Styela clava: one gene and its partners. The protein of the gene in region 3 purifies or fractionates together with the protein of the main gene of each other region. This does not show direct contact. Links are inferred from orthologs where the notes say so. Each region holds a gene or a part of one and is shown on either strand. Other genes may lie near its edges.

The links.
Region 1: the proteins of transcriptional coactivator YAP1-A-like (region 3) and merlin-like purify together in Homo sapiens (affinity purification with mass spectrometry; 7 studies listed by BioGRID and IntAct, with this or other methods). This does not show direct contact. The link is inferred for Styela clava from reciprocal best matches to the Homo sapiens genes YAP1 and NF2.
Region 2: the proteins of transcriptional coactivator YAP1-A-like (region 3) and T-complex protein 1 subunit beta-like purify together in Homo sapiens (affinity purification with mass spectrometry; 3 studies listed by BioGRID, with this or other methods). This does not show direct contact. The link is inferred for Styela clava from reciprocal best matches to the Homo sapiens genes YAP1 and CCT2.
Region 4: the proteins of transcriptional coactivator YAP1-A-like (region 3) and coiled-coil domain-containing protein 85C-like purify together in Homo sapiens (affinity purification with mass spectrometry; 5 studies listed by BioGRID and IntAct, with this or other methods). This does not show direct contact. The link is inferred for Styela clava from reciprocal best matches to the Homo sapiens genes YAP1 and CCDC85C.

The regions. Positions count from the first base shown.
Region 1 is NC_135252.1:22,934,566-22,942,393, forward strand, and holds the start of merlin-like, read right to left. Parts: upstream 3,001-7,828; 5' UTR 2,869-3,000; coding exon 2,792-2,868; intron 2,256-2,791; coding exon 2,120-2,255; intron 1,404-2,119; coding exon 1,272-1,403; intron 485-1,271; coding exon 401-484; intron 1-400. Other genes in the region: NADH-cytochrome b5 reductase 3-like, read left to right, coding at 4,604-4,621, 5,991-6,154, 6,559-6,718, 7,093-7,281. UniProt on the Homo sapiens protein: Probable regulator of the Hippo/SWH (Sav/Wts/Hpo) signaling pathway, a signaling pathway that plays a pivotal role in tumor suppression by restricting proliferation and promoting apoptosis.
Region 2 is NC_135255.1:22,610,269-22,617,579, reverse strand, and holds the start of T-complex protein 1 subunit beta-like, read left to right. Parts: upstream 1-4,289; 5' UTR 4,290-4,350; coding exon 4,351-4,353; intron 4,354-5,053; coding exon 5,054-5,122; intron 5,123-5,884; coding exon 5,885-6,071; intron 6,072-7,041; coding exon 7,042-7,118; intron 7,119-7,311. UniProt on the Homo sapiens protein: Component of the chaperonin-containing T-complex (TRiC), a molecular chaperone complex that assists the folding of actin, tubulin and other proteins upon ATP hydrolysis.
Region 3 is NC_135257.1:9,974,260-9,982,282, reverse strand, and holds the start of transcriptional coactivator YAP1-A-like, read right to left. Parts: upstream 3,007-8,023; 5' UTR 2,808-3,006; coding exon 2,152-2,807; intron 1,762-2,151; coding exon 1,620-1,761; intron 867-1,619; coding exon 746-866; intron 645-745; coding exon 586-644; intron 1-585. UniProt on the Homo sapiens protein: Transcriptional regulator with dual roles as a coactivator and corepressor. Critical downstream regulatory target in the Hippo signaling pathway, crucial for organ size control and tumor suppression by restricting proliferation and promoting apoptosis.
Region 4 is NC_135251.1:11,944,202-11,951,628, reverse strand, and holds the start of coiled-coil domain-containing protein 85C-like, read right to left. Parts: upstream 3,023-7,427; 5' UTR 2,939-3,022; coding exon 2,179-2,938; intron 1,444-2,178; coding exon 1,364-1,443; intron 891-1,363; coding exon 684-890; intron 1-683. UniProt on the Homo sapiens protein: May play a role in cell-cell adhesion and epithelium development through its interaction with proteins of the beta-catenin family. May play an important role in cortical development, especially in the maintenance of radial glia.

The DNA of each region.
Region 1 (7,828 bases), on a different chromosome or scaffold from region 3:
ATGGGACTTTCTCAAAGTGCTGCAAACGAAGCCCGAGGTTCCGTGAGACTTTTGGCTAACTTTAATAACTATCCAAAGAAGCAAAAACGGCATCAATAAAATTTGACAACTGTAGCGTTGAAATTTGGCAAGAAGGCGGATGTTCAAATATGACTTTATTCATAAGTTTCTCAAAAACATGATTCAAAGAATAACAATGTATTTTTTGTTTGTGTTTATTTTAATAAATATATTGTGGGCTCCATAAATAAGAGTCAACCTCTTCATGGGCTCAGTGAAATCGAAAATTTGAGAAATCCTGATCTAAACCAACTTATCCTATCCTATGCCAAATTGAGAATAAATGTTCACCGATGCAACAAAATACAAAATCTATCAATATATCAATGAAAACACGCACCTTTGCTTGAACAGCGAACGAGGCAAGCAGTACAGATGCCTCTGGAGGGCAGTAAAGATCTTCAGACAATATTAAATGCTGAATCTGTAAATATAGTCCAACATTAGAAAAATAAATTAGGAAGGGAATGCTGAACGGGGAAGTATCTAAACAGAGTGGTAAACTGGATACACTACGATATTAGTTATGTTAAAATATTTATGAATATGGAATATCTAGAACCAACCATCTAGCACAGCCACACAAAAAAAATAGTTTTTCGATATACACAAGAAATTAAAAAATTCTCACAATGAAAAGTCTTAGCTTAGCTCGCTCAGCCTTATAGTATTAATAGATTAATAAATGGACAATTGATAATACTAATTAGTTAATTAATACTAAACTATAGTCATAATTAATTAAATAAAAAGCTAAAAAAGAAGTTGGAGATGAATTTTTATCAACAAAGAACCAAGAGATAAAGCCAAAATGATTTTTTTTACATGGCAGTGAATTTTGAGTCAGAGTCGAGTGCAAATGTTCTACAATCAAGTGAAACAATATAGCATTAAGCAATAGAACCATGATTAGAGCAAAACAAAAGAGCTATGCTCAAATATATGGACATGTAGCCACACATAGTGGCAAATTCGGATGACATCATAGCACACAAAAAATGAATTCCATGCAGCTCACCGGTATATTTGAAATAAATGGAAGTACCGAAATAGCTTTCTGGCAAAAAAATCAATCTACAACCACTGGAAATTTCAAAGCAATTGGTCCAGTATCCGAAGAGAAGTGATTTTTTATTGAGGAAAAAAACAAATAAGAATAACAACAAAACACTAACACGATCCATAGGTCTTATCCAATAACACTATATTACCTGCAGAAAGAACAGGTGTCTCGTGACCTCTTGTATAAGTTCATCTTCCATTGACTCAGGATAAAACTTCGCGAGAAACTTCAACTCAAGTTTGTCGCCGTTCACTGGTTTTGGAATTGCATGATTCAGAAGCTGAATATAAAGAATGGATTAGTAAACGAATGACGAACAAATAGTAAACAATGATTGGTAATAATATCCCTCATGAGAATGTTAAGAAAATAAATCTCTGAAAATCTCTCGTCCATGGACTATCGTTCGATTACCATTCCATATGGAGTATGGCAATTTTTCATAACTAGTTATTTGTTATCGATACATGGACTTATTTTTATTCGGTTTTTGCCCAGTGAATACTCAACAATTGAGGCAATTTTTCAAAGTGGATTTTGGCACAGAAGACATCATTTTAAAGTTAGCTGCAATCCAATAAAACCAAAAATAGATCTGTATGAAAATAAACACTTTACGTCTTTACCTATCAAATTTCATCTGTGTGAATTTATATAAATAATAATAATTTATATGTTCTCTCATTGTGAAAATTTCTATGGTGGTTTAGGAATAAGTCAATGCTGTCACTTCAAAGTGAATTGTAAGTACTCCCCAAGTATGTGCCCAGATGGCAGACACTGAAACGTAGTGTGTGTACCAGGTTAGGGTTAGACAATAAGTTTATTTCAACGAGTTCGGGGAATAGCCAAGTGACTCCTGTGGTATTTGTACCTGAAATTATATCCTAACCCTAAACCTGGTACACATACTACGTTCCGGTTTACATACTTCGGGAGTATTGAATTGTAGCTCTTCCTCAACAATCTCGATAAAAAAAGAAAGCTTCTTGTCACCTTTTTGTCAAGTTTTATCCATGTAAACCTCTTCTTGACATCATGAAATGCGAGACCAAAATACCAAGTTTCTCTCAGACCGATTGTCCGACATATCAAATCAAATACAACTTGAGCTTTCACTTGATTTGAGACCCTAAAAGAATATATTTCAATAGGATTGAGATAAGTTCAGATATTCAATGGTAATAAAATAAGTCGAAATTGTTACAAACTTTACAACTTACTCAAAAAGTTCAAATTTACTAAGCAATCTTAGCATTCAAAGTTTGCAAAATAAAACAGCTGACAATAATGATCTTATGATGAAATAAAGTGTTCTCATATTTTATTAAAAAATGTCCGCATCATTTAAAATGAAGCAGCAAAATGACTCATAAGTTTGAAAAAAATATAAATTTCATTAAGGTTCTAACGGCTACCATCTTTAAGTTTTGAATATTTGGAATCGCTTGGTTCGTTAGTTGTCCAGTAAAGTCGAATTTTCCAACACCAACAATTTAACCAAATGATTGATAGGGTGAATAATTAGTAAAATAATATTGTGGGACCCCAAGAAGTATGCGCACCAAGATGGCGCACAACCTGAACATAGTATGTGTGTACTGGTTAGGTCAGGTTGTGCGACATCTTGGTGTGCATACTTCTGGAGTACCATATTGTGCTTCTTACGTAAATTCTAAATCCGCATCCAAAGTGGATACTCTGATGTTGATGCTTTTCTTTTTCTTGAAGAGTGGGAACGGCATCTCTTATAAATGATGTTAGTGACATCAATTCAGGAATAATTGTGAAGCGATTATCAAGAAGCCATATTATTTAAACTAAAATTAACAAATGTTATTTTCACAGACTCTGAAAAAATGGTGGAAATACTGGAATAGAGACTTATACAGAGATCTATCAAATAGAACACCAACATAGTTTAGATTCAACTGTTAGACCACAGAGCTACTGGAGTTGAAGCGATCAAAGTAAAATGAAAAAAATAGGAATAGGAAAAAAAATAGACTTACTGACCTGGTTCGGTCAACATCCTGCAGTTTTAACTTCAATCTGTCAGCACAGCAGTAACCTGCTATGTCTTATCAACCTCAGAATTGTATTATAGTATTATCATGGGTTCATGTCAACTATCATAAATAGGATGGCTTACCCACTTTGCGGCCACGACCTATTTGCGGCCATCAAACTAACGAACCATGACGATATTCCTCACGCGCTTTCGTCCACTTGTCCCTCGTAGCTCTGGGAAATTACACTAAAATGCATCCACAAACAAAAAAGTTACGATCGAAAACCCGCCCGAAGAAAAAAAAACGAACCCTTTTTTCATATCGCCAACTACCGGTACCCATTGTTCCTTCAAAAAGCTTGAAAATCTATACAAATTTAAAAGATAAAAAGATGAAACTTGGCAGGTCAGCAGGTGGGTAGAGTTGTGTTTCTTTTAACCATCTTTAAAGTTTTGCGTTCCAACATTTAAAGGAGGGGGAATAGGGGGTGCACATTTCAAATACGTCGATAATATCTTTGTCGACCAATTTGCGATCACCGTGTTATTGTCTGTTTGATTGCTGTGATACCGGTACCGTACCGGTACGGCACTTTATTTATATTTTGACGAGTGGTGTTCTTAAAATATATGACGGTCAGAAATGCAATTAGGCTATATGTTTAACTTTATAGAATATATTCAGACATTACACATTTCTTAATTAAAAAAAAGACAGTTAAAAAGGAAACTTACTGAAAGTTGCTGAAATACCGGTAGCCTACCGGTAGTAATTCTCTATCTATCTAGCCTTTGAATTATTACAATATTGTCTCATTATCAGCGAAACTAAAACACAAGACGACGGCAAGTGTGAAAGTTTGTTTATGGACACAGTACAGCAGTAGGCCTACAGGTCAGCAAGTTCATCACCTGATCAATGTCAGACAACATCTTATCTAGCTATCATTCAATACGATATGATTTGAAACAAATCACAAAATTAAAAAATTATATCTCTAAAATTCAAAACTTATCAGCAGGCTAAAAACCATAACGACGTGAAAACAAACGCAAAAGAGTCAAGACAGCAAGAGGAAACCTGAAAATTTCCAGAAATAAAATAAATCGCTGATATACTTGAGTAACTTTCAGACGAGATTGACCCGACCTGAACTCGTGACCTTCGAACCTATCATAACTTTTGCACAACTATCATTCTTCAACGACTTTATCCATTTTCTTCACACAATTACTCGTACCGGTATTAAATTCATTGTGCAATAACTAAAAGAGTGGCTAATATTAAAGATTGATATCTTATCTATTTATTTTATTAGAAAGTGACGCAACGCACTGCAATTTGAAATTTTGACTCGATAACTTCGTTGGTGTTTGCATTGCAGCGGTTCTTGTATTTGCTTGATGCGAACGTGACCTACCGTACTGAGTGTTCGTTTTTTTTCGACACATCTAATCAGGATTGCCGTATGAAGCCTTCTCCAACAGTGAGCGATATATCTATTACATTTTAAATGGCTGGTACCGGTATACCGTAGACTTTTGCCAGTTAATTGATTAAGCAAGATAAATAGGGAAATGGTTTCTTTCTTTTCAGTTTTGCATTCGGAAATTAGATCATATTAAAAAGATTTGTATCTGCAATTATCGTTCTGATATGCAGTTTTTGCAATTCTGTATTTGTGAATGTGAGGCCCTTTCATAAATCCTTTTGCTGTTTTGATTATTCCATGTCCTGATGTCTGAAAATTACACCAAAATTCAAAGTAGATATTCTTCCTGTAAGACAATAAAATCTTCTTAGTGGGGGAATTCCTCCCCAGTTAGAATAACCTGGCTTTAAAAATATAGAAATGAACCTATTTACCAACCATCTATGTCAGTGAATACCAATCTTTTTCATTAAATTCCTCCTTTCACCTATTTTTAATGTTTTTTTTCCTTCCTAGTTACTCATAAAAACTAAACATAAAAACCCTGCCTCTGCTGCTCTGTGTTATGCTCAAGTCGCACTCATACTTTCATACAGTTTTGGTAGTAGAATAAGTAAGCGATATCAATTATGATATTAATAAAGAAATGAAGAATATTAGTAGTAATACTAGGACAGCAAATTCTAAGCAAAATTTAGGATAGGATAGGATTTACATATTTATCCCGGGGGAGAGGAAAGCCGATAAGACGGCTCATCCATATGGCGAACCACGGCCTCTCGTCCGGTTACCATTCCAAGTCGAGTATGGGATTAGTTTTACTGTATTGTTTGTTTTCGGAAGCATGGACTTGGTGGTGGAGGAAGCCGTAACCGACCAGCGGTTACGTGAACCACCCAACGACGGCGAGGAGTCCAGCAATCCTCTCGCACATAACCATCCCTGCATGGGATTCGAACCTGCGAACCCACGCAGAGTGATTAGAGGTGCGGTGGCGAGCGTATTCCTAACGCTTAGCCTGTTGAGCCACACCGCCGCGCCGAGCCGATTTCTGCCCAAGAATGGCGTGGCGGTGTGGCTCATCGTGCTAAGCGTTAGGAATACGCTCGCCACGCACTTCTGATTACTCTGCATGGGTTCGCAGGTTCGAATCCCATGTGGGGATGGTCATGTGCGAGAGGATTTCTGAACTCCTCACCGCCGTAGGGTGGTTTACGTAACCGCTGGTCGGTTACGCCTGCATCCGCCATCAAGTCCATGCTTCTGAAAACAAATAACTAACTAATCCCATACCCGACATGGAATGGTAACCGGATGAGAGGCCGTGGTTTGCGATATGGTTAAACTGTCTTATCGGCTCCCTCGGGATAAAGATGTAAATCCCTTCCTGATTGGGTAACTTTGATCTATGTTCTTTATTCAGATGAGTCTTCTAGGATTCTCAGTTGTGGGGATTTCAGTTGTTTGTGCTGTTGCATACTTCATTTGGCAGCGAAAGAAAAATCAACCAAAGATAACACTTCTGGATCCTGATGTCAAATATCCACTTAGATTGGCTGATAAAGAAATTGTTTCTCATGATACAAGGTATTCACATGACGAAAAAGACATTTGACTAACAAATATTGTTAATTTTAAGCTTCTATTTGTGCTGAAATAGGTTCTGATACAGAATATATTCTTAATTCGTCTTTGTAATCAGGTGCATAGCCAGGAAGTATCATACATCATAAGGGGGAGGGATGTGAGATTTATACTTGCCAAGTCAGACCGTATCTGCTAGCCGGTCAGGAGGGATATTCTGGGTTTTAAGGGTTTTCAAGCTATGAAATAAGGCTCTGCATGATACAGAAGAAAAATGCTTTGAAAATCTTTTTTTTTTTCATTTTAAAAGATTGGCTTTGACCCTCAACCCCTCCCCCCTCTGGCTAAGAACCTGACACCCTTTCTTGCATGATCTCGAAATAACAAAATCCATTCGCTTTCCACAGGCGTTTCGTGTTCACTTTACCATCATCAGAGCATATCCTTGGTCTACCTATCGGACAGCATATCTACTTATCAGCTGTTATCAATGGAAAATTGATAATTAGGCCATACACCCCGGTGACATCTGATAAAGATAAGGGACACATGGATCTTGTTGTCAAGGTAATGTTAATTGTAATTTTATTACTTTACTGCAATAAGGTAACATCGATGATATGGAGATTGGAGACTCAATCCTGTCACGAACCATACTGTTGTGTCATTAACTCGGAGAATAGACGATGTTTGTAGACAAGGCTGAAAATCAACATGAAACAATGGGAGCCACAATACAGTATTCCACATGAGACCTCTCATCTGGTTACCAGTTAGTGTCGAGTATCGCATGGGAATATAATATAAAACAGTTATAGTGCCCACTGACAATAATTTTGCTCAGAAATTTAGAGCCTTCTTACTTCCGAATTAGTGCCAATAACCTTGCTCTGAGCTCATTCTCTCTATAATAAATTTTTTTTAAATTTTTTCTGATATAGGTTTATTTCAAAGATGTTCACCCCAAGTTCCCAGAAGGAGGAAAAATGTCTCAATATTTGGAAAGTCTCCGCATCGGGGATACAATTGATGTTCGAGGGCCAAATGGGCTTCTTATTTATGAAAAACCTGGTTTGTTTTCCATCAAACCTGATAAAAAGTCGGAGCCAATGAAAAAAAGTGTCCGAAAAGTAAGATTCTGATTTACTTGCACTGTTTAAATGCTGGCATTTCATAACTGGTTCAGGTTCTATTAAACAAACCGTCAAGAAAATCTCATTTTGGTAGTTTCCTAGGTTTTTATCAACTATTATACTGAAAATAAAACAAGTCACTAGATATCACAACTAGCATGAGGTATGCTCAAGGACGTGGCAAACTCTTCTGCTACCTGGGCGAACTTCTGGTAATGATGCTCCTTATACCTAACTTCAAAATAATTCGGGTGATAAACAAATTATAGATGTTGTTATACATAAGAATGAATAAATTAAGGGTTAAGTAAGAGTGAAATGTTTGTATTATTGTTAATTAAATCATCAAACTAAGCAACAGACTCACATGTACAATTTGCTGCCGGGGCAGCTAGCCCTATGAGTATGACCCCCTTCAGACGCACCCAAGGGTACGCTAGCTAGATAACATAAATCATACTCTCTCATGTGATTGACTAATATCATCTTCAGATTGCTTACTTCAAACCTGGATGACCTTGCCAACCAAACTGTTGTCCCTTCT
Region 2 (7,311 bases), on a different chromosome or scaffold from region 3:
GTAGCACAAATTACGCGATCAATATCAGAAAGTAGTCAGTTCTCAGCTCAGTGGCTGTAATCTGAAGTAGCAGTACGCTCTGCAAAATTGTGTGAAAATTGTTAGGCCCTACTCTACCGTTTGCGAATACATACATGCAAGATCACAAATTACGCTACCAATCTCAGAAACTAGTCAGTTCTCAGCTCAAAGGCTGTACGATCTAAAGTAGCAGTCAACGCTGCAAAAAAAGTGTGACAATTTTTACGTTATTGTAGTTGTTTACTCCATCGAAATTTAATACAAGCGGATTGTAATAACGTACGTAATCGATGTTCTTCCCATCATTATGATTTGTTGAAGGCGAACTCAAAGTACACATTTTAGGTGTAATGACCTCATTAACGACAGAATGGAAGTCAAATTTAACAATATTTTCACGCAATATCCACGAACTCGTTTACCATGAAGACGTCTAAAAGGAAATTACAACACGTAATAAAGGAAGTCGGGTATAATGTAGCAGGGAATTGAAGCATGCATGAGCAAACATGGCTCAAGATATTACATGTTTAATAAAATAAATTTAATGTCGTTCATGCTTGATATTACATAACTATAAATTTTGTTGAATTCACAATATAGTGTGAGTCGGTTTGCGCCATTTGCGAGAAAATCTTTGGAGTGACTTATTAATTTTCTGATTTCCACGTTACATGCTTAGTCTCAAACCATTTGCCTGAAGTTACCCGCTGGCCGGTTACTGCCTCCCCATCATTAAGTCCATGCATCTGAAACAAATAGCTTGCCAACTAAACCCGTGCGAGACCCGGACTTTTGGTATTCTGGAGCCCGTGAAGAGGTGAGTATCATTTACACCGCAATAAATTTTAAAAAAAACATTGTTACTTACCGATGAATGTTTTTGTGTATATTAAACTTAGGCCTACGTTATTTAATGACTCGGACGTATTTATAGCTTCTTTGGACAGTTACAGGTAAACGAATATCTCGCGGAGCCCTGGGTTTATCCCGCGGAGCCCTGGTACTATTTATGGATCACTTTGAGAACGTGTGAGACACACGCGTAAGCCATCTTGTAGGCCTTTCTTTTTTCCCCGGGACAAGTATGAAAATCCCAACCTGATTGAAGCTTTATATCTACTTTGGCATAGATTTGATCTTGAAATTCCAGTGCTTTACCTCTGCGTGACCTACTTCTATACCTTATGTACACTGTGACTGAGTTGTACTAGGACAAGTTAACTTAATATGGCGTGAATACCGTTAACACATCACAGTGTATCGCCGTCAATCGCGAACTCGTCGTATTGCCTATGACGTCATATGTTCATTGAAATTTATTGATTCTGACGTCACTGTATTTCATCAAACTGACTGCTTTCACGTATACCTAAATTTTAATCAAGAGAGGGTATCTCTTGGGAAGAAGAGACGTCAAAGAAAAGAGTCGAAATCGAAGTACATGCCTCCTTGCAACAGTTGTAACGAAATTCTCATTCCATCTTACAAATTTGAATCAGAAATATTCAACATCAACTTTGGCTCCCGACAGAACAAAATTGGTAACAAAATTGAATTGGCACCATCAAAACTGTGGCATCGGCACAACTGTTACTAGTTTCAGTTCGAAATTTCAAATTAGTTGCATCCACTAGTTTCAGTCCGAAATTTGGGCTCCAGGACTTTTTAAAAACGTTGAATTCTAACGTCATGCAGTTAATCTTTCGATCGACGCTCTGAGGATACCCTACCATTCAGATAGCAACAAAGCAATTAGGGCCAATAAGCACCCCTACTCCCGATTGATTAACCGGTGACCAAAATTGGAAGCGAAAGGATATTCGCGGGTCAGGAGAGGGGAGCGCCCTCAAGGTGATGATACCGGTTCCGATAAAAATATTTACGATACCGGTATAATTGAATTGTTTCGATTATACTACTGATCGAACTGTGACAATGACGTAACATTTGGCGGTATCTAAAACGCAAAAAAATCATAAAGTGTTGAATCATAAAGTTTGGCGAGCGATATTGACCGTTATGCGGGCCGTAATTGGCCCGTGGCCGCGGTTCGGGAACCACTGCTCTAGACTGCATGCCTATTATACGAAGCGAATCCGTGGTTAATTTTTCTTTTCTACAAATTATTGTTATTTTCATCGGTGGGATTGGATTGATTGTTGTTATCGTTGTGAAAAATCGCATAGCATAATGCTGTCCGTGTTTCCGAAAACAAATAACTGGCTAACTAATCCCATATCCGAAATGGACTGGTAACCGGACGAGATGCCGTGGTTTGCCATATAATTAAACTGTCTTTTCGGCATTTCTTTCCCCTGAACAAATATGTAAATCCTATCCCTCTGATTACTCCGCTTGGGTTCGCCTGCTGTGTTGGATAATTATGTACGAGAAGATTGCTTGGCACACGATCTCCGTCGAAGCGTGGTTCAGGTCCATGGTCTATTGTAACCCTAGTTCATCTCAATTGTTTGGACTGATATATTCCCTCTTTTGCACACACTCCAATTAAAATATATCCATACGGTTTAATCATATGACAAGCTACGGCGTCTCGTCCGATTGGGTGTGGAATTAGTGTAGATGCAAGGACTTGATGGTTTAGGAAGTCGTATCGGGCCAGCGGTTACGAGAACCACACTGCAGCGGCGAGTAGTCCAGCAATCGCACATAATTATTTTCCTATAAGATGCGAGCCCACTTTTGGTAATCAGGGGCGCGATGGCCAGCGTGTTTCTCACGCTCACCACGATGCGCCATATCGCCGAGCCAGCATCTGAAAGCATGGAAAATTAAGGTGTCTGACGTTGCATTATTATTATTATGGTATCGCATTCTCGTATTACACAATTTGAATCTTAATTATACTGTTCATACGCTGCGCAAATATTTCTGCGTTTTGTTAAAAATAAAAATTGGGAAGAAGCGCTGTGAAACCGGGTGAAACTTTCAATGACCAGTCGTTATAAAACCGCTTGAAATAGGAACTGGAGTATATAATATAGTTGTTAGGAGTCTGTTTATGCATACTCGAGTGTATGAGCAAATTTTGAAATATACTTTCAACGTAATATTTTTAAATTAGGTATTTTAAAATTAATAATTCTAGTATTTAAGGAGTTACAATATTCATAGTAGCTATCACTATGATAATTTTTGAGAATTTAGCTTCCGAGTTTTATTATTTGAACAAATGCTCCGGTCACTTCTTTCTCATCGACGCATGGGCCCCTCGCCGAATGTTCTCGACTGGCGATCTTAGTAACCGTAACGCTGTAATGGCGGTTGGGCGTTTTCGAACGACCTTCTGTTTTTGTTTTTCACAGGCTAGTCTGGTGTATACAAGTTGTGTTTGTTGGTTGTTGAAATTTTAAAGCTTATTAGGTTACATACCAGGACTGTTTTGTTTCTAGCTATACGATACCTGTGCTAACTATTGTAAGTTCCGTTGGTTGATGCATTTCTGCATTTGGAGATTGAGGTTCCAAATTCTCTGTTAAAGAGGCGCTGAGTTTGCCTTACTGATTTATATGCTTCTTGCTAACAGCAATTTTGCATCTCATTTCTTGGGTTAATCTCCTTGTCATTCTGTGGGGTGACTGGTTGATGAAAAGGAGCGCATGTCGCACATTTGTGTTTTAGGCCAGTACGGTCTTGTGCATGCGTTGCGTCTCCAATATTAATATTGTCAATTTTTTATACTGCTTACTACTACGAGACTAATAAACATACATACATACATACAAAAATGCAAACAATACCGAATACATAAATTTTACTACTTACAGACTGATCCATACCATTACCATGTTTCCTTAAAAAATGAATGCGCTATTATGAGTACCTGAAGAGCAAATTAAAAGTGTATACTAACTTTTGGACACCCTGTATATGGCGCACCTAATTCTGCAATCCATTCGCCAGACTTTTACTTTTTGACTCTGTTAGTTGTGTAGTTACGGTAGTACCGATACACGATAGTTCATGCATTTGAAACAATATCGGTAACATATGTTTTGTTTTGCAAGATGCATAAAATTAACTCTTTCCTACTACTGTACGACTGTCAGACTGTACTACTGTTTTATATTTTCTATCAGAGCTTCTCAAATTTAGCACCATCTCATTTAAAACATTTCTGTATTTGACTGGCTGTTTTTAAACAGCTATATTTTTATCCTCTTAAGATAGTATTCAATTTTATTTTTTAGAGAAAGTATTCTATAAAATTTCGATATATCATGTATTTCCATATTTATGTCTTCATTTTTAGATTCATAATCTAATTTATTTACAAACTGTGATCTCAAACAAATATCTTTCAAAATGGTGAGTACGTAGATACTAATAATACTGTAATACCTGGACACGGAATCATTGAATTTGAAAAATAGTTGTAATGACATTACTACCTATCGGTCATCAGATAAGTCTGATTACAGTACAGCACACTATCCAAATTCCAGGAATTTCCCTCCATTTGGCTCAATAAAACAAACACTCTATGTGTCTCACAAACGAGGGGCACCTGGGACCACGTCAGATGCGTCATATCACACCATGCTTGTCTCAATAATAATCTAAATTAATCGCGGTCGTCACATGATCAAAATTGCCGTTTTTAACTAAAAAATCTCGAATGCTACGGTAAAATATTTTTTCTTTCGGTAAATCGGATTATTTTTTCCCCAAGGAATTCAATGATGAGTTAGTTATTAGATTGCGCTTCTTTGTAGTATTTTGCGCAACTTCATTATACTGTATTATTACCGATATTGAGGGACAACAATGTCCTGACGTCTCCCAAAAGAGGGGTGTCTAATCATTTGTAAATGGGTTTCTCTGAAACGGGACAATGTCACCCGATTTGTAGTGTGCCGTACTGGATTGACAATAAAATTGCTAAAGTGGACCACACCTTTAATATTACGCAAACGCCCAAAATTACGTAATGAGACGTTAGATATATATGGAAAATTGTATTCATGTATTCTACCTTGCATGACCCAATTCATTTTTACTGTTTCAGATGTCCTTAAGCCCAATCTCAATTTATAATGCTGGAGCAGATGAAGAAAAGGCAGAAACCGCAAGATTGGTGAGTATAAGAAATATTCAGTTATATGCAGTTTCAAATATTATTTTTGAATCAATTTTCCTTTATGGTAGGAATTTTTTCATAATTTGTCTAAGCCAAATTAATTTAAGGTTTTATCCCACGAGCTTCAGTTAAGTAAAATTTTCTACCTCAGGTCTGTTTCTTGATCATTTTGAAACTGCTCGCTCATGTAATGCACCATCATGAATCTATATTCTGATATAGTTTCAGTAACTTTCGGTATTTCAACAGTCGCTCTTAATTTGAATCTTAAATTATGGAATCAGCGATCATCTTTAAATTTTTAGTCTTCATTTGTTGGAACTGTCTATCTCAATGGTATTTCTTGGTTATTTTGAAACTGCTTCAAGTCTCAGGCTTGGAATACACCATCATGAATCTTTCAGTAACTTTTAGTATTTCGCCGGTCGCTCTTAATTTGACTCAAAGATGAGTCTCCTTTACTTATGAGCCATAAATCCATAGTTTCGCTAGCTCTTGGCAATTCAGTAACTTCATAACGACCATAACTTCAATCATAGATGAGTTTCTTTTAATTCTGTATGAGTGAGTGTGACCTTGATTTGAGCAAATTCTTTTCAAAGAAATGGCTCGTCTTTCTTACTTTGTGGTTTCGGTTACCCATGGTATTTCAGTTGCCATTCATATTTTTGCTCGAAGTTGAGTATTGTTTACTTCTGTGTGAATCCACCTCGATTTGAGAGAATTTTTCAAAATCAGCAATCATATTTAAATTTTTAGTCTTCATTTGTTGGAGCAATTGCTATCGGTGATCTCGTGAAATCAACGCTAGGTCCAAAGGGAATGGATAAAATATTGATGAGCGCTGGACGTGAAGGATTGGAACCTGGCATCACTGTTACAAACGATGGAGCAACAATATTGAAAGCTGTCGGAGTTGATAATCCTGCTGCTAAAGTCTTAGTTGGTAAGTTCGGATGGATTTTTGTATTTATACTGGGGATAGCCAAAGCCGATAAAACTGCCTATTAATTACCTGGCAACCTATTTTCCTGCTACCTTGTTCAGTATAGTGTCCCCTCTTACATGAACATCCACAAAAGAATCAAACCTAAGAACCTGCACATAGAAATATCGCCATGTTCGGTTATCTCATTATACAATAAAACTCAGCCTCTCATTACTTAAGTAAGTATGTTGATAAGTATTTGTCTGTCTGTTTGTCTGTTAGATGCACGCGATATTTCACGAAGGCGTGGTTGAATCTGCTCCAAATTTTGCATGTGCATTCATCATATCTCGGACCAGAAGCCTATTAATTTTGGATGAATTATGTCGTATAATTAGCGAGTTAATAATTAATTAGTGATGGGACACGCGGTGTCACTATAGTCATGAATCGAAATCGCAGTTTCGATCGATAAGTCTTCGGTCTCCGACCGATATTCTTGTTTGTTTACCAGTCCGTGCCGGGTATGGAATACGAGTATATTATTGTTTGACTCACAGTAATTGACTTTATGGTGATGGAAGCTGTAATTGATCGGTTGTCATTGAACCACCATACGAATGTAAGGAGTCCAAGAACCCTCTCAAATAAATATCTCTTACAACGTGGAATCTGATCTCGCATAACGATAATCAGATATGCAACGGCGCGTTTTCAATAATTCGATTCAGCTACTCTGTTTGAGCTGAGTGGCTCTACTATAGGTTTTGATACCGAGCATATGCAAATTATATTCTAGATTTCAATCTTTGCATTAAATTTAACACCTCTCGATCTTCAAACAAGGATTATGCTATAAATCAGCAGTTTGTACATAAGGTTTTAGTGTGATTGATAGCACTGCTCCTAAACCTTCATTGCGTCGAAACGAACTTAATTGCTATTGCTTCATCATTTAAATAAAAAAATTTAATTTTCTAATTCCCAGATATGTCCAAAGTTCAAGATGATGAAGTAGGAGATGGAACAACGTCAGTTACTGTGCTTGCTTCTGAGTTATTAAGAGTAAGTGCTATTGTAGTAGGGGTCACTCATCTGTGAGAGGCCAAGCAAGGTGTTCGATTGTGCTATTTGTATATGCCTTCAGTACTCTGTTCAGCATTGAAGGCAGCACAGAATTGCCAGATCTGCAAGGAACTCAGGACCAACATTAAGATGTCTGATTTAAGGGTGTGGCCAGGGATTTTCAAAGGGAGGG
Region 3 (8,023 bases):
TATGAAACAAACCAATGAAAACGCATTGTTTTGAAAGTCATGACAAAAGACAAAAAAAACTGAGGATGCAAATTTCAAATAAAAGAATATTTAAGCTCAAAACAATTTGATTTACTTCATTGCCGATTATAAAAATTTCTTCTGAGATGAGTAAAGCAAACATTATATGAAGTGTTCAATCATCATTATTTGGGGAAAACCACTTGTTAGAGCCCAATACTGTTGTTCGGTACTATTAAAACAATGCCGTAATTAGAACAATACTTCTTTATTTACAAAAAAATTCTGCACAAAACATTTCGTACGACAGACTACAGACATTGGAATAACTGCTTAATAATGGATATTCTATAGTCTAACAATTGTCCTCCTCTTGTCATGATATATTTTAGTCACATTGAAAAAGGAAAAATTGGGAAATAGATATTGTTAATACAGTGTTAAGCAACACTACCCAACATCTCATTAACAAAAAGTCATATAACAAACTAGGACTTTTTACTGTGGGACTGGAAACAGCAATACATTTAGATCACAGTTGAACGAGGGGTATTCACAAAAAAATTATTACAGTTCAATTGTTACCTTATGAAGCTGCTGTTGTATCTGTGCATTCATCTGTGACTGACCACCTAGATTCATGCCTACAATTGATGCAAATAGAATAATAGGAAAAAAGGATAAAAATTTGATATTGTATAAAAAGCAAATGATAATTTGCATGGAAATATTAAAAAAAAGGAACCTTGAAGTCTTGGGTCTAACCAGCTAGTGGTCCGTGTTTCATGATTTATGAAGTATATTTCACCCTGTGGTGTAGTTGCTTGTTCCCAACCACTCGGAAGAGGTTGCTGCACAACTAATTGCTGAAATGTTTATAGCCATTGATTAGTTTTATAAATAACAAGGTGTATTACTGCCTTTCAGCGTCATCTTGGGGCGATGCTGTTCTCGCATAAAAACGTTTAGCGCTGTGCAAATTTTGTAGCCATAACTTTTATTTAAGCTATTTTAAGGTTGCCGCTGACAAGTAGACCGAATAGTCATTTCACGGTTATCCTACCATTTGGTTTAAATATTTTGTGATCTTTCTTGTTTCCATTTTGTTATGCTTTACCGGCATTGCTAATAAAAAACGATTTGATTGATTGAACTAATTAAGCTACTATCATGTATTTTAGAGCAGCGGTAATACTGGGTCAAATACACAAATTTCTGGTAATGCGAAGGCCACACTAAATTTCAAATTATGACTCGGTTATGCTATTCTAGATATGATTATTGTTGCACGATAATATTGTTGATAAAATAACACCAAAAAATACATTGATTCAATCATTCAATTCAATTTATTAGTAAATGATATTACATTATATTATTGTTAACAACTAGAGAAGAACGTTCCAACTTCCGAGGCTTAAGTTTTTATAGCAATGATGCAATATGCAATCACTTACACCGATATATTGTCAGATCTTACCAAATCATGCAAGCAAAATACAAGCTGATGCTGTAAAACGCATGGAGCAAAGATGTAATTAAAACAGCCATAATCTCCAACTCGATATACGATTTATGTCTGCACAGCAAAGAATAAATGATGTAAAAAAATGTGATACCTCAGGCTGTTGTACACTATTAATATGCATCTGAGACTGTTGATGGTTGACTGCTTGCATGTTATTGGCATTAACTCTTTCTTGTTGCTCTTTTATTACGTCAATTCGTGGGTCAACCCAGGTAGTAGTTCTGTTTGTGTGACTGAAAAGTGATTATAAAACAAATCAATGTACTGGCAGAGTTGAAGACTTATAAATTTATATCACACGAAGCACTCAGTACTGGTACTATAATAACTTGCAAGAACCGTATTATAAGATTTATACTTATCACACCAACAACTAAAATTAGAAACAGACTATATTATGTTCCAAAACCATGTTAGATTCATGAAGTGCAGTTCTTCAGACTTGTTCGTTTAATTAACAAGTGACAGCAGGATGTGTTAGAAGTGCATTGTTTCCTCAATTGGACTATTATATTGGACTATTATAAGTATCTTAAAAGCACCTAGAAATTTGAAAATTACTTCATAAAAATGAAAAAGGGTATTTCTTGTAAAAAAAAGTAAAAATTAACTTATTTACATACTTCATGAAATAAGTTTGACCGTCCTGAGTTCTCGCGAATTCCCATCCCTGTGGTAATGGCATATCAGGTGGTATTTCAATATGATTACTAGGTTGCTGAATTTTCATCTGCATATTTGCGTTGGCTATTTGCAAACTTGCAGGTGATGACTTGGATCGGGAGTGCGCGATTTGTGGTTGTTGCAAGGCAAGGTGACTTGGCGAATTTTGGAAGGGTGAGTGTTGCATTGGACCTGGGGTAAAGTTTCCAGATCGGGGTCCAATATTATTATTCATGTGTGTTTGAGACTGCTGTGGAAGATTATTCGAAGATAAATTTAAACCGGATTGATGAGATGCACTTGAATCTGTACTGGAGCTCCGTGAGTGATTGACTGGTGTTGAAACTAGCCCACCCATTGAACGAGAGTGTGCATGCATCGGCACATGACGTGGTCTATCCGGTTGCTGAAAAAATGACTTGGGAAGTTTCCTATACTTCATGGGAAGGGATTTTGTCTTTTTATTAGGATCCAAAGCAACATTGAATAATTGATCCAACTCATTTGCAGAATCCTGACGGACATGAAGGATCTGACTATGGCCGGAATGACCTTGTGTAATAGTAGTTTGTATTTCAGGGTCATTTTCCTCTTCCTCCATATTAGACATAGACATATCAAAAGTCAACTGTTTTAAACTAGGATTATTAAAAGCTAGGAAGAATAAAATTCTCTCAACTTTGGACTGAACTTGAGTTCAATGTTGATAAAAAAAAAATTGTTTTAGCCTCAGAATTCACCAGGGAAGTAGTGATATGTGAAACGATAAACTTGGTTTCATCTATTTCAGTATTTGTATTCTGAACTATTGTAGCTGAAAACAACATAGGGATTTTATTACATGAGTTTTGGAATGTGTTCCAGAACCAATATATGAATAAAAATAGGAGAATGGTCCAATGCTAAAGGTATATTTTGCACATTAGAAAAATCTCATCTAAACAGACTATTATTGCTATATATCATAAAATACCTTGGAAAAAGCAATAAGTTTTTACTATAAATTAAAATTAAACATCAAAATAAACATAAAATTTCTTATATGTGCCACTACAAAAAGCTGATAGTATATACTGCACCTCGGTTATGTATGTTGGATAGGCCTATACATGTTTTAGGTTGATTATTGCTCTATTCACTGCTTAATATTGCTTACACATGTATTGCCCATTGCAAGATATCACAGCAATAATTCTAATGATAATAAATTTAACTCCTTCATGTCACATAAAAAGACCTCAAATTCGATTCGAACAAAAAAACTGATAGTACGGTAAGTAGTAACTTTAAGTACTGACAATTGTCTCTAAACCAGGTTATTAACCAAAGGTAAGCCATTTGTATTTAATTTGCATGAGAAAATTTGCTTTTGTTTAACAATAATAGCAGTGACCATTAGCATTGGTAAATCATGCTCACAGGCATATATGTCAGGAAACCATCACATTTGGATATTAATGTTGAAATTATTCTCTGAATGCTACTATTTTCATATAAACTAGCATTATAGGTTCAGAATTGAAAGAAAATAAACTTTGCACTTTCAATAATAAACTAGATATAACTAAAATAGGGTATATTGGCTCAATATTCTCCCCATTTCTTCGTTCTATTTGTCTTGCACATACCATAATCCAGTAATTACTGAATTATCGGCCATGCTGCCATGGGATTAGAGCCTATCAATGTAGTCCTAACGCTTGGCATGGTGCATGTGCACCAACCACTGAACCACAGAGCTTATCACAGTGGAGATTTTTTTTATTTACAGCAGGAACCTGATTGATATTCTAAAAAATTTTTATCACACGTCATCTTATGGTGGTTCTGCATAAGGATTGACAAGTGTTTTTGACAGAATTTATAAACAGATAACTAAATATAACATTCAGACATTACAGCATTATTTAGCTATTCCTAATGTTACGGTACCGTATGTTATTATATTTAAACTAATCCCAATGTGAGTGAAAATCAAGGGCTAGTTCACTAAACGACGTCAAGTACCGGTACTTCTAGTTCAGTACCGTACCGTACGGTGGTACGGTAGTCAGCAGTCAGGTATTTGGCATGGCGTAACCATTTTCAGATTTTCGCATAGCCTATGTCATTTCTAACCCTCACCTGGCTAAATTATGTCACTACAACACAACACCTTAAACGAAATCAGACTGTAAGAAGAGTCAGTGAATAGGTAGCCAGCAACTAAACATGTTTACGAAAAGACATCGAAATCGGCAACACTTTTCCGTCACAAACAAGACATCTATAACAGTATAAGCCAATCGTCAAATGTAAATGTCGCCTCCCCCAATGTCCTGCGCCACTAGCGTTGGCGGGTATAATTCCACACCATATAATTTAAAAAGAGATTTTTTTCACAAAACAACATTTACACCAACACCATAATGAATATTAAAGTTCTAGAGTTCGAATAATATCTTTTAGCTGGTGTCAGTTGGCAAACCCGATGAAATTCATCGTGGATTGTGATGCGCTGCGCATAACTTTTTTCAAGCATTCATATTTATAGTAACGGTAAAGTGAAGAAACGATGAAAAGATAAGGCAAGTCATATATAAAAAGAAAGAAATGGAAATGCAAAATCATCTTACCTTGAAATTTTATTTCACATAACAACATTACCACAAACAAGTAAATATAAATCAATATGAAAGCTCTACCCGTCGAATAATATTGCCCATCATGTCCCGCTGTTTTCAGCAAAGTAATGAAAAAACGATAAAAACTTGAATCAATTCAAGTATAAAGAAAAAAGTAAGTCTACAATACTTCAGAAACTGATCAAGTTGATGACATCGGGGCAGTTGCGTGCCTAGAGGGGGCGAAAGGGGCAGTCGTCCCAGGTAGCACGTTCTAGACCAGGTGGGTCAAACTTGCGGCCCGCGGGCCGCATGTGGCCCCATAGAAATTTCAATGCGGCTCTTGAACGCTTAACAATAATTGTTATTTCTCAAAATTTTGAAATCATTGTCCAATTCGTCACTTTTCCATCAGTATAATGAAAAAATACAATAGAAGTAGACATAATCAGAATAAGAACAGCATTCAATATGACTAAATTTAAAGATCAACTTCGAACCATGAAACTGTTGCAGTTACAGCAAGTACAGCTAAATCAGCAAAAAACCTGCTTCAAAACAATCTGTGAAAGTAAAGTTTATGATTTTTTGTAATAAATACAGTAAATTGCAATAATAGTGAAATGCATGAAAATAATATGCAAATGGCATTTGAAATTTAGGAAAATAAAAAAACTTCATTCGGTTGTTTAATTACTTCACATATATATATATATATGTCACAAACTACACCTATCTAAAATATGCTTTAAGTATACATTATCAAAATATATCAAAGTGTGTTTGCGGCCCTTTGCACAATTCCCAAAATGCAATGCTGCCCTCGAATACCCATGAGTTTGACACCCCTGTTCTAGAGGACAGCAGAACCGAGCGGTAGAGTTTGCGTTATTACACATGTTTTTCTCGATGTGTTTTTATTGAATTAAAAGCTGACAATATGTGAGTGACTGACTGTGGTGATGGTGAGTCAACAATAGATGTTTTCCCGACCACTGACCCCAGAAAAATCACTCATATATTCTACAGTTGCAACATTTTTGGTGCTTTTAATGATGGTTTCGCCTTAAACTGGTTTACATGTTTCAAACAAACATTTTAATTCAAAATATGCAACCCTGTTATTTAAAAATACCGGTAGAAAAGTTGAGCCTAGTCTGTCAAGACTAGTTTTAGACTAATTTTTGATTAGCAGCAATTAAACTATAATAAGTCGCAATAATCATTGAGTTTGTACTGAAATTTGCGAAACATAACGAAAAACGAATAGCATGCAAAAACGAGGTATGGTTAACAACCATGCCAGAAAATCTGTGTATGTGGCTACTAAAACGTCTACTGTTACGTCGCTTTTCCGAAATGGAAATGTTTGTTGCTTAGTTTGATGATTAATTTAATAAAAACAAACGTTTCTATCTTAGTTGACCTTTAATTTATTTAGTCTCATGCATAACAATTACTATAATTTGTTCGGTCCCAGAATTATGGGAATAGGGGTATCTTTATCAGAAACTTGCCACGGGCAGCAAAAAAGTTTTGCACAGCCTGCGTCGAAGTCAAGTGAATGTTAATGTCAGACAAGCCTGAATGATTATGGAATTTTTTTTCTAGGCCACAATTCCAATTTACAAAGATAAAAAATTAAAAAGTATGATGTTCACAATATCAAATATGTTGAAATATATCAGAATAAATATTTACCCTGTGATAGATATTAAACAGTCTTGAAAAACATTCAAAACTAATTAAACAGTTTTAGAAAACCTCAGAGATGTTTTGTTAATTCATCATCATATGTTGTTGTTGAATATAAATTGATTTATAATTGAAGGCAATGATCAGTACAAATGTAACGCATTAGGTTCAAACGTAATTACAAATTACCTCTTACGTATTACAAATTTCTTCGATCATTTTACAATGATTTCACAAATTACTATCCACATTTTTTTTTTAGTTTTAATAGACCTGGTGGCCCACAGCTTTATCATAATTCTTCAGAAATGTTTTGGGAGGCAATGTGTTGGTCGACTCCAGATTTGATGGAGTTCATGATATTATGATTTGGTCTTCCACTACAGGTAAACTACCGTACTAATTAGATTACGCAGGCGTTCCCAATTCAGCTTGCGTCATACTAACAACGAAATAAAAAATTCGCGGCACACTTATTACAAATGAAAGTTTTTAAATTCCCTATCAGAAAAAATTACTTTGGTTTACTATATACATTTTATATACATCCATTTCTAATAACGATCGTTGAATACTCGTTTTCTGAAATTGATGAGAGAAAATCTAAATGGTGTCAAAGTTTAATAGTAAAATTATGAAATCTATATATATAAAAAGAAAAAACGTGAAAAATTTTAAACTTAATATCATTTTCAAGATTCCAATTTCTTAACTGCTGACAGGTTGAAAAGGATTGTTCCAGTATTTTAATAGAAACGATAATTTATCCCAAAACAGAAATTTCCCGTAGTTTCAGTGTGACTAATTACCGAACAGTACTATATAAACAAAGTGGAATTGGTAAAATTGCAATCTTTCCAGAATGTTGCACAATACATCACCTATCGGTGGACATAAACTAATGTATCTTCATATGTATGTTACCATACTACTCCAATTACTGATTGCGATGTAATAAAGTTCATGATGATTATTGTGTAAAAAGCTCAGGAAGTTTCTGAAAATTTACCGTTTAGGTAACCCTGGATTACTGTGATACGACTTTACCGATAAGTGAAATTGTCCATCCCTCAGTCGGAGCAGAGAAAATTCACCGATTCATGGCACGCATGCAACTAATATATCTGTGACACCGGTATGACACACTTTGCATCTTTTCAATGTAAGGTATTATTGTATACGGGGATAGGTAATTTTTAGAGCTTTAAAATAGACCAAAATTCACACCGATGCTCCACAATTAAATAAGACGAATAAGACCATATTTATTCCAGGAAGAGAAAAAGCAATAAGACCGAAGTAATAAGAAAAGGAAATTACACACTTTAAACTCTCCATAGTAGTAAAAAAATTGACCGAACCAATAAATTTTATGCCCACTTACTGTGGAGCGTATTGTATATATATATATACATATCAACGTTTTATGATTTATTAGAGCTTACCAACTTCTATTCAATTAATCACTTACAATTTTGTCTTTGGTCTAACCATTTTCCCCTCGCTTGTCGTTTGTCTTTTATGTAACTTATAT
Region 4 (7,427 bases), on a different chromosome or scaffold from region 3:
CATTATACAAGGCCTGTGTCAGAATTGTACGCAATTTAATAGGAACTGTGGCGAGTAATTCATAAACTATTCCAAATCAGATACTGTCATTTGATAACGCCAAAACCTAACAAAAACCATGCAACTGAACTCGCTAAGTATGCAACTAAATAGACACTAAATTTCCTACGAATCTTGGAATTTAGGACAAAATTCTGGCCCATGTCATGAGTGAGAAGCCAAATTACCACCTCTAACTATACTCCAAATGTGAGAAAAATAGTTATTATAATAAATCAAGAGGGAATTGTCTAAATATGGTAAAAATTATTTAAAAATTTAGTTTTACAAAAGCACAAATCAGAGTGGAAAGTTAATAACTCTAAATGAGCACAAGAAAAACGGTAAAAGGATAGGGTTTACAGATTTATCTTGGGGGGGGGAGAAGCATATAGAAAAAAAAATAATTTTGGACACAGAAGATATACCAAACTACTTCCGAGAACTAGAATTCGCCTTTCTCATACTAAATAGAGTCTGACAGGTAGTATGAAAAAATCAATATGAATATAAGTAATTTACACTGATACAACAATTACCTACATTATTTTTCAAAGTTTTCAATTCATAATTACAAGCAAGATATCAGTTATGAAAAATTTAGAACAGCGAGAGTATTAATTAAAAAATGCAAGTTAATTTACCATTAATGTACTCCCGCCTCCGCTGAGAGATGATGAAGAATTTGATAAATGAGATAATGCAGAATGAGCAGGTGATATGTTTGAAGATGAATGCGAATGTATTATAGGTGAGGCAGATTGAGGATTCATTCTTCTTTCTAACGGTACTTTACCAGGAGACATATTGTTGAAGATTCCGTGAGGATGGTTAGATACAGTGGGTGGTGCCTGATAGTATTAATTCAAATATTACCAGAATATTTCATGCACTCTATGTCATGACTTAACTGTTTCACTGGCCTAATTAATGTTTGAATTATTGGTTATTTACTTTCATATTCAAGTAGCATTGAAATCAAAATTTCTTATTTTAGAACATTCAAATCTTGGTGTTATCCACATAAAATGCATCTAAATATCTCGCACATAAGGTTTATATGAATAATGCTCTACAATGCTTGTGACAGCAATATACAGTATTTGTCTCTATATATGCCATACAATAAATTCTACTTGAACTCTACATATGACAAAGTATCTTTAGAATGAGTTAAACAATCCATACTAATATTATAGTTAATACCTAAAATGTTACTGCAATGAAATCTCAATGAAATTTAAAGTACACAGATGATGGCAATGTGACAAAATAGAAAATAAAATTAAAAAATTGTGAATAAAACAGTATGTTGTCCACTCACCTTTTTTAATCTTCCTTTAACTTCATCTTCTAAATGTCGTACCTTGTTTTCCAAATAACGAACATAACTTTCTTTGCCCTCTGTAGTGAGATAATATAGAACAAATGAGTAACATAAAAGTAAGTACCAACCAGAATTGTGCATATCAATAAGAACATACTGCTAAGATATTTACTATTCATTATTCTATTTGACAAAATTTCCCAAAAATTAAAGAATCAAAAAACGTAACAAGTTTCAACTCATACATGAGGTTGTCTCATATAGACTGTTACTGTTTTTTACTTTAAATTTCACTTCAAAATAGGTGATTAACAAGTTGACTCAAGGTTGCTGGACTAAAATAAAAGAATGATTCGAAACAGATGAATGCCAAAACCAATCTATTCTGAATAATGAATATTCTGATTTGGGTCAGGATCACCAAATAACACATGGAAGGTTGATGTATATTTATTGAGTTTGTTTTGGTAATGCAGGAAAGTTGCAGACAAAGTGACAATGGCTTTTTCAGGTTTCAAAAATTAACTAAAGGCGATGCTGTGAAACTATTGACAATTATTCCTAAAATTGAGAATTTGATATAAATTTTTTTCGAATTGATTCAAAAATGTGTTTAAATTTGGACATCCTTAATTGAAACAATATCTTTGCAGACCTTGGCTTCAGAATATTTTGTAAATTCCATTTAAGACAAGTTAGTTTTGATTTTGACGTGAAACAAGTATGATAAATTCGTTTTGATATCACTATACTCGTAAAATTTAAATGTTTTTGAATATGATAATTAATCACTTATATCATAAATAGTTTACCTAAATTAGTCTCTCTCTGAAGAATATTTGTCGGTAACCTGTGATCGGGACTTGAATTACTTGCAGTTGAACCATTACTACTTCCATCGCCAGAATCCCTTGTGCCAGCGACACCAAGTAATCCAGGCACAGGTCCGTGAAAACTACTCTGACTATCAATAGAAGTCCTGCTTCCCGCTTGTTCTTGATCGAGAAGCAAACATAATTCTTTGAGATTTCGATTCTCAGATAATAATGTTTGTTGTTTTTGTTCTAAATCCCTGATTTTACCGTGACATTGAGAAAGTTCTTTTTGTAAAACTCCAGTGGCGTAACGTCCGAAAACTTGCCATTCTCTGGCCATTTTCTTTGCTTTGTCTCGATCATCATCAAGGAAGCAACACATTCCACCTAGTTCATCTTTTTCTGTAGTTAATCTTTCTTTTTCTTGCTGAAGTTTTTGATTAATGTCTCTTAAACTACGAACTTCTAAAAGATGAACCTGTAATCGCCGATTTACATCTTTCATAACCCGACCACGATCTGATAGAAGTTTTTTATGTTCAGATTCACAGGCTCGTAACCTTTGTATTAGGATTTCTACACCCTCAAATCTCAATTCGTCATCGGTAGGTAATCGCGCAGAAGCGCTCATAGCGTTAGATCCATATGGTGGTAATCCATCTCCTCGTATCATAACAGGAGAAGAAGACGCAGTTGATGATGACGAAGAAGAACAAGATGACGGTGAAATGACATTTCCATCCATACCGAAATTCATATTTGGATTATTACCTAATGTTTATTATTAATGTAGCTTATGGCAGAACATTTTATACCTTAAAACATTAGGAATACTGAAATATGATCTAGGAAAGATATGCGTTGAAAATTTAGTATTTTTAGCATTTATTTGCAATTCTCAGAATCTGTTGAAGACTGGTATCAAGTAGTACAGTTGACAGTAGTAGACTAACGTTACTTACATTTTGGCATCTTGCACTTTTGATATTGCCTGTGAGGTCACATAACAGTATAACAGTATAATGCTAGCTCACACTACTTAGCTACTGAAGCATGTCAGTGGCCACAACTCTATCAATACCTGTATACCTACCGGTACCGGTACGGTACCTTTCCGCCTTCGGACAAGCACGAGAACCAATGGAATGGATACGGTACCGGTACGGTACTTTCATGCTAATGGTTTTGTTTGCTCCCCTTATTTCACAATTAGTTTTCGTTTATTTGTTTTTATCAATCATTTTATGACCAGTTATGCTGATTATGGAGTCGAAATAAACTTGACCTTATTCTGTTATCATACTATGCTGGAATGAATTCTAAACCGTCGCAACCTAATACACTAATAATTCCTACAGAAATAGCCGACCGACAGACAGCCTTGAGTAAAATTGGGAACCGTTTGCTTTCAGCAATACAACAAAAACTTAGACTTGACTTCTCAGCAGCTCTCTATCGCCAAACTAGAGGGTGGTTCCTAGAGTAGCAGAAAATTTGAAAGTCAGATGAGATCACGAATAAAATGCGTATAGATATAGGTTGAATTGAAACGATACCCACAAGTTAACCTTCAAAACGCTACACAAGCTTGGACTTCTAGGTTATAACTTATAACACTGCTCTGATGTGCACGGACGGACATTTCGAGCATCTATGAGTGCAATATAACATATGTCTTTGAAAAAAACTTTGTAAACGTTATTATTTGTAAAAAAGTATTACGGTAGCTGATTTCTGTGTTTCTAGCGACCACCTTTGTATAATCTCAAGAGGGCGAGAGGAACAGCTGATACTGAATTCCATTCATATATATATTTCCACAAAAATAGCAATTAAAATGAACTTTTTAAAGCTCTTAATTTTCCTTGAAACTCTTTCATGTTATTGTAGTACCTTAAACATTAGCAAAACACATTTTATGCTAAAATTTTTCAATACTTCAGTTATGCGAAATTATTACCCTGTAGCTATTTTTCTTATCATACTGAACGCGACTGCTTCAAATCGCGTGTCCATCGATATTTACTATCGCGAAATTCATCACTATAATTCTTGGTAGTACATTATCAGTATAGTTCTTGGTCGTCGTGACTTTTCTGATAAATCCCCCCAAATGGTTTGACAAATTTTCTTGTAAAATACCCAGAAGTGAAAAATGTGTTCAAAGAGTGCAAATGTTTATTTTGTGAATTGTTTTGTGTTTTCTGAAATTGAGATGCAATAATTTTTGACACAAGAATTTAATTTAACCGTTCCATGTGCAAAGATTTGAATGACGAAAGAAGTCATAACCAACCAGAGTTTACGTTCACAATGTGCCGTTCAATAAATGGAATAAATCCCCGTTGGTCAACGAGGGTAATTATCGCCGACTAATTGATAGAGGATTAGCGATTTATGACCAGTTTTCCTTAATTGTGAACGCTCAAGAAGTTTGATTGTGTTGCCAGAATTAGCTCAACTCATATTGAGTTGCCTAACAGACAATTCTGGCAGATTGAAACTGGCGATGCTGACATTGTCTGCCATGTAAAAATTAGAGACTGTGTAGCAATATCTGAAATAGTATTTTTTGTAAAAATTACATTTGTTTGTAGGAAACTGAGACATTAACGGTAGATATTGCAAATACCGGAATATAGACTGGGTTATCATTTGTCAATTTTATTGACACAATCACAACCGAGATTCTATGAAAATAAGTAGCGGCTTTCCGTAACCTAATGGAACGGTCACTAATAGGGAATATCACACCCAAGTAAAGTACCCAATGTGGTCGTTGCCATAATAAAATATGAATTAATTAGGATTCGACCACATAGACTTGTAATGGCAATCAGGACACCAATGTGTTGTTATTGTTGTGTCGTATGATTTCGTTCTTTGTGCTTCAATTATGTGTGTGCTATGTGAATGAGAACTGTTGGACTTTACTATTGTAACAAAACCCAGTAACTTTTTAATTTGGTCGACAAAATCTTGAAGTCTTCTTAACCGTTAAAATTATTCTTGAAGGATTTTGTCGATTCGCTTTAAATCTGTAATCTGCAAATAACGTTCACGAGATTTTCCATCTCAAATAATACTATCTTCGTTTTTATCCGCAATTAAAAGTGATCTAATAAGATGTCAATTTGTTTTCTCATATTTCTTTGTATATTTCTAACACCGCCACAATATAACTCCAAAGATTGCATCTTGCCATGGATATAATTACAAGAAATATTCGACTTGAAAATATACGTGTATGTTGTTTATTCGTCTTGTGAAGGAATACAGAAAACAAATGATATATTGATTCGGAGACATCAAATAAATATATTCAACGTGCATCCCTGAGGCTTAATAGGTGTGAAATCAATTAATAAAACACGACGTTGGCGCGGTGGCCTAGTGGTGCAAGCGGTAGATGCCATCGTAGGTTCACATATCATTACCGGTTCTAAGAAAATTCGTCGTATAAAATGTCGCCGCAGGATATTTCGTCGCGTAGGAAAAATCGCCGCAAGAACGTTTTGCTGAAAACAAGTATTTGTGATAAATACAGTTTTCTATTTAAAAAAGCGTCGTTATTTAAGAGCACACCCTAACCTTATCACAAATACTTGTTTTACAGCAAAATGCTCTTGCGGCGATTTTTCATGCTATCACAAATATATACTTATTTTACAGCAAAATTCTCTTGCGGCGATTTTTCATGCCGCGAATTTTCCTATGCGACTAAAATTCATGCGGCGAATTTACCGGACACGCTCATCACCACCACCTCACCAAGGGTGTAATATAATATATTGGGTAGACAATGCAGAAACGGAAAGGTTCCGGTGTTTCCAAACTCACAGTAAGCTCATCACCCACTAGGCTTGCACGTAATTTACGGATTTACGGAATTACGTAATTATTTGGAGTTACGGAAGGGAAGTTACGAATTACGTAAAGTCGTAATTATTGCATTGAAACGAGCTTTCTTCAAAGCAGTCAATTTCGTCTATTGCGAAAAATGAAAGCTCAACAAGTAGAAAAAGTTAGAGTTCCGGTATTCGCAGCCGTTTTTCTCTCTCTTGTTACGTAGGTGAAGGAAGGCATGACGCGTTGCCATTTAGTAACCTATTATCAACTTCTCTGGCATGGCCAATGTAAATTATTAACGTAGTTAAGGGGGAAGAACTGAGTAGGGCCGTTTGACGCCAACACACCTGGTTTTAACTTCTCCCGCAACTTAACCGTAGATAAGGGATAGAATTGCGTTGAGACCGGTTGACGCCAACACACCTGCTTTCAACTTCTCTCGCATCTTATCTAGCATGGCCATGGCCAATGTACATAATAACCGTAGATAGGGGGAAGAATTGTGTTAAGACCGATGGACGCTAACACGCCCGGTTTCAACTTCTTCGGGTGAAATGACTAATGAACGCAGGAGATCAATCTATCAAACACGAACTATCAAACATTTGTATCCATTTTACTTCTATTTATTATTTACTTGTTCCAGTTTTCCGTTACTTATGGTATATATGTTCCGTTTCTATTTTATTCTATTTTATAGTCACGCGTTTAAATAGTGGGAATCCCCCACCAAGTGTGGATTAGCAATGCTTAACCATTCTTTATTGTTAATATCAACACTTGATATATGAACATAGAATATCATACTGTTTTTGGCTGTTTTATTTCAGACTTGGGGTATAAACAGGAAAATATCCATAACCTTTCTACACGACGATCTTGTGAAATTTAACGAAGAGCTTTCGCGACGAATTGGAACCAAATAAGCGAAAAGAGCGATTGATCACTCGCGCCAATACCTCGCCGTGATAATTAATGTCGCGCTTATCAAATAGCAATATGGCGAAAAAAGAGAGATTGCGTAATGAACCAAAGCAACTTCGTCTTCTCGGCATCGGTAAAGCGATTGAGACGGCAGAGAAACAGCAAAACGACGGATTCCTCGCGGACCGCTGAAAATTTAACTGCTATCATATATAATCAAATATGAGCCAGTGTGTTTATTCTGTGCGAGATCCATTTTCTATTACAAAATCTTGATGTTCTGTTTACGGTTTTATCGTTATATATCAGTCCGGACTTGGCCTTGCTCATAATGTTTTTCACAATTCCTCTCAATATTTCGGCCATATATGATTAAGTGTCTTACCAAATGCAGTAACTTATTTTGATTTATCGTCGACTTGAATACCACCGGCACCCGACCAAACTTGTGTCAATCTTGGCCGATAGGATCG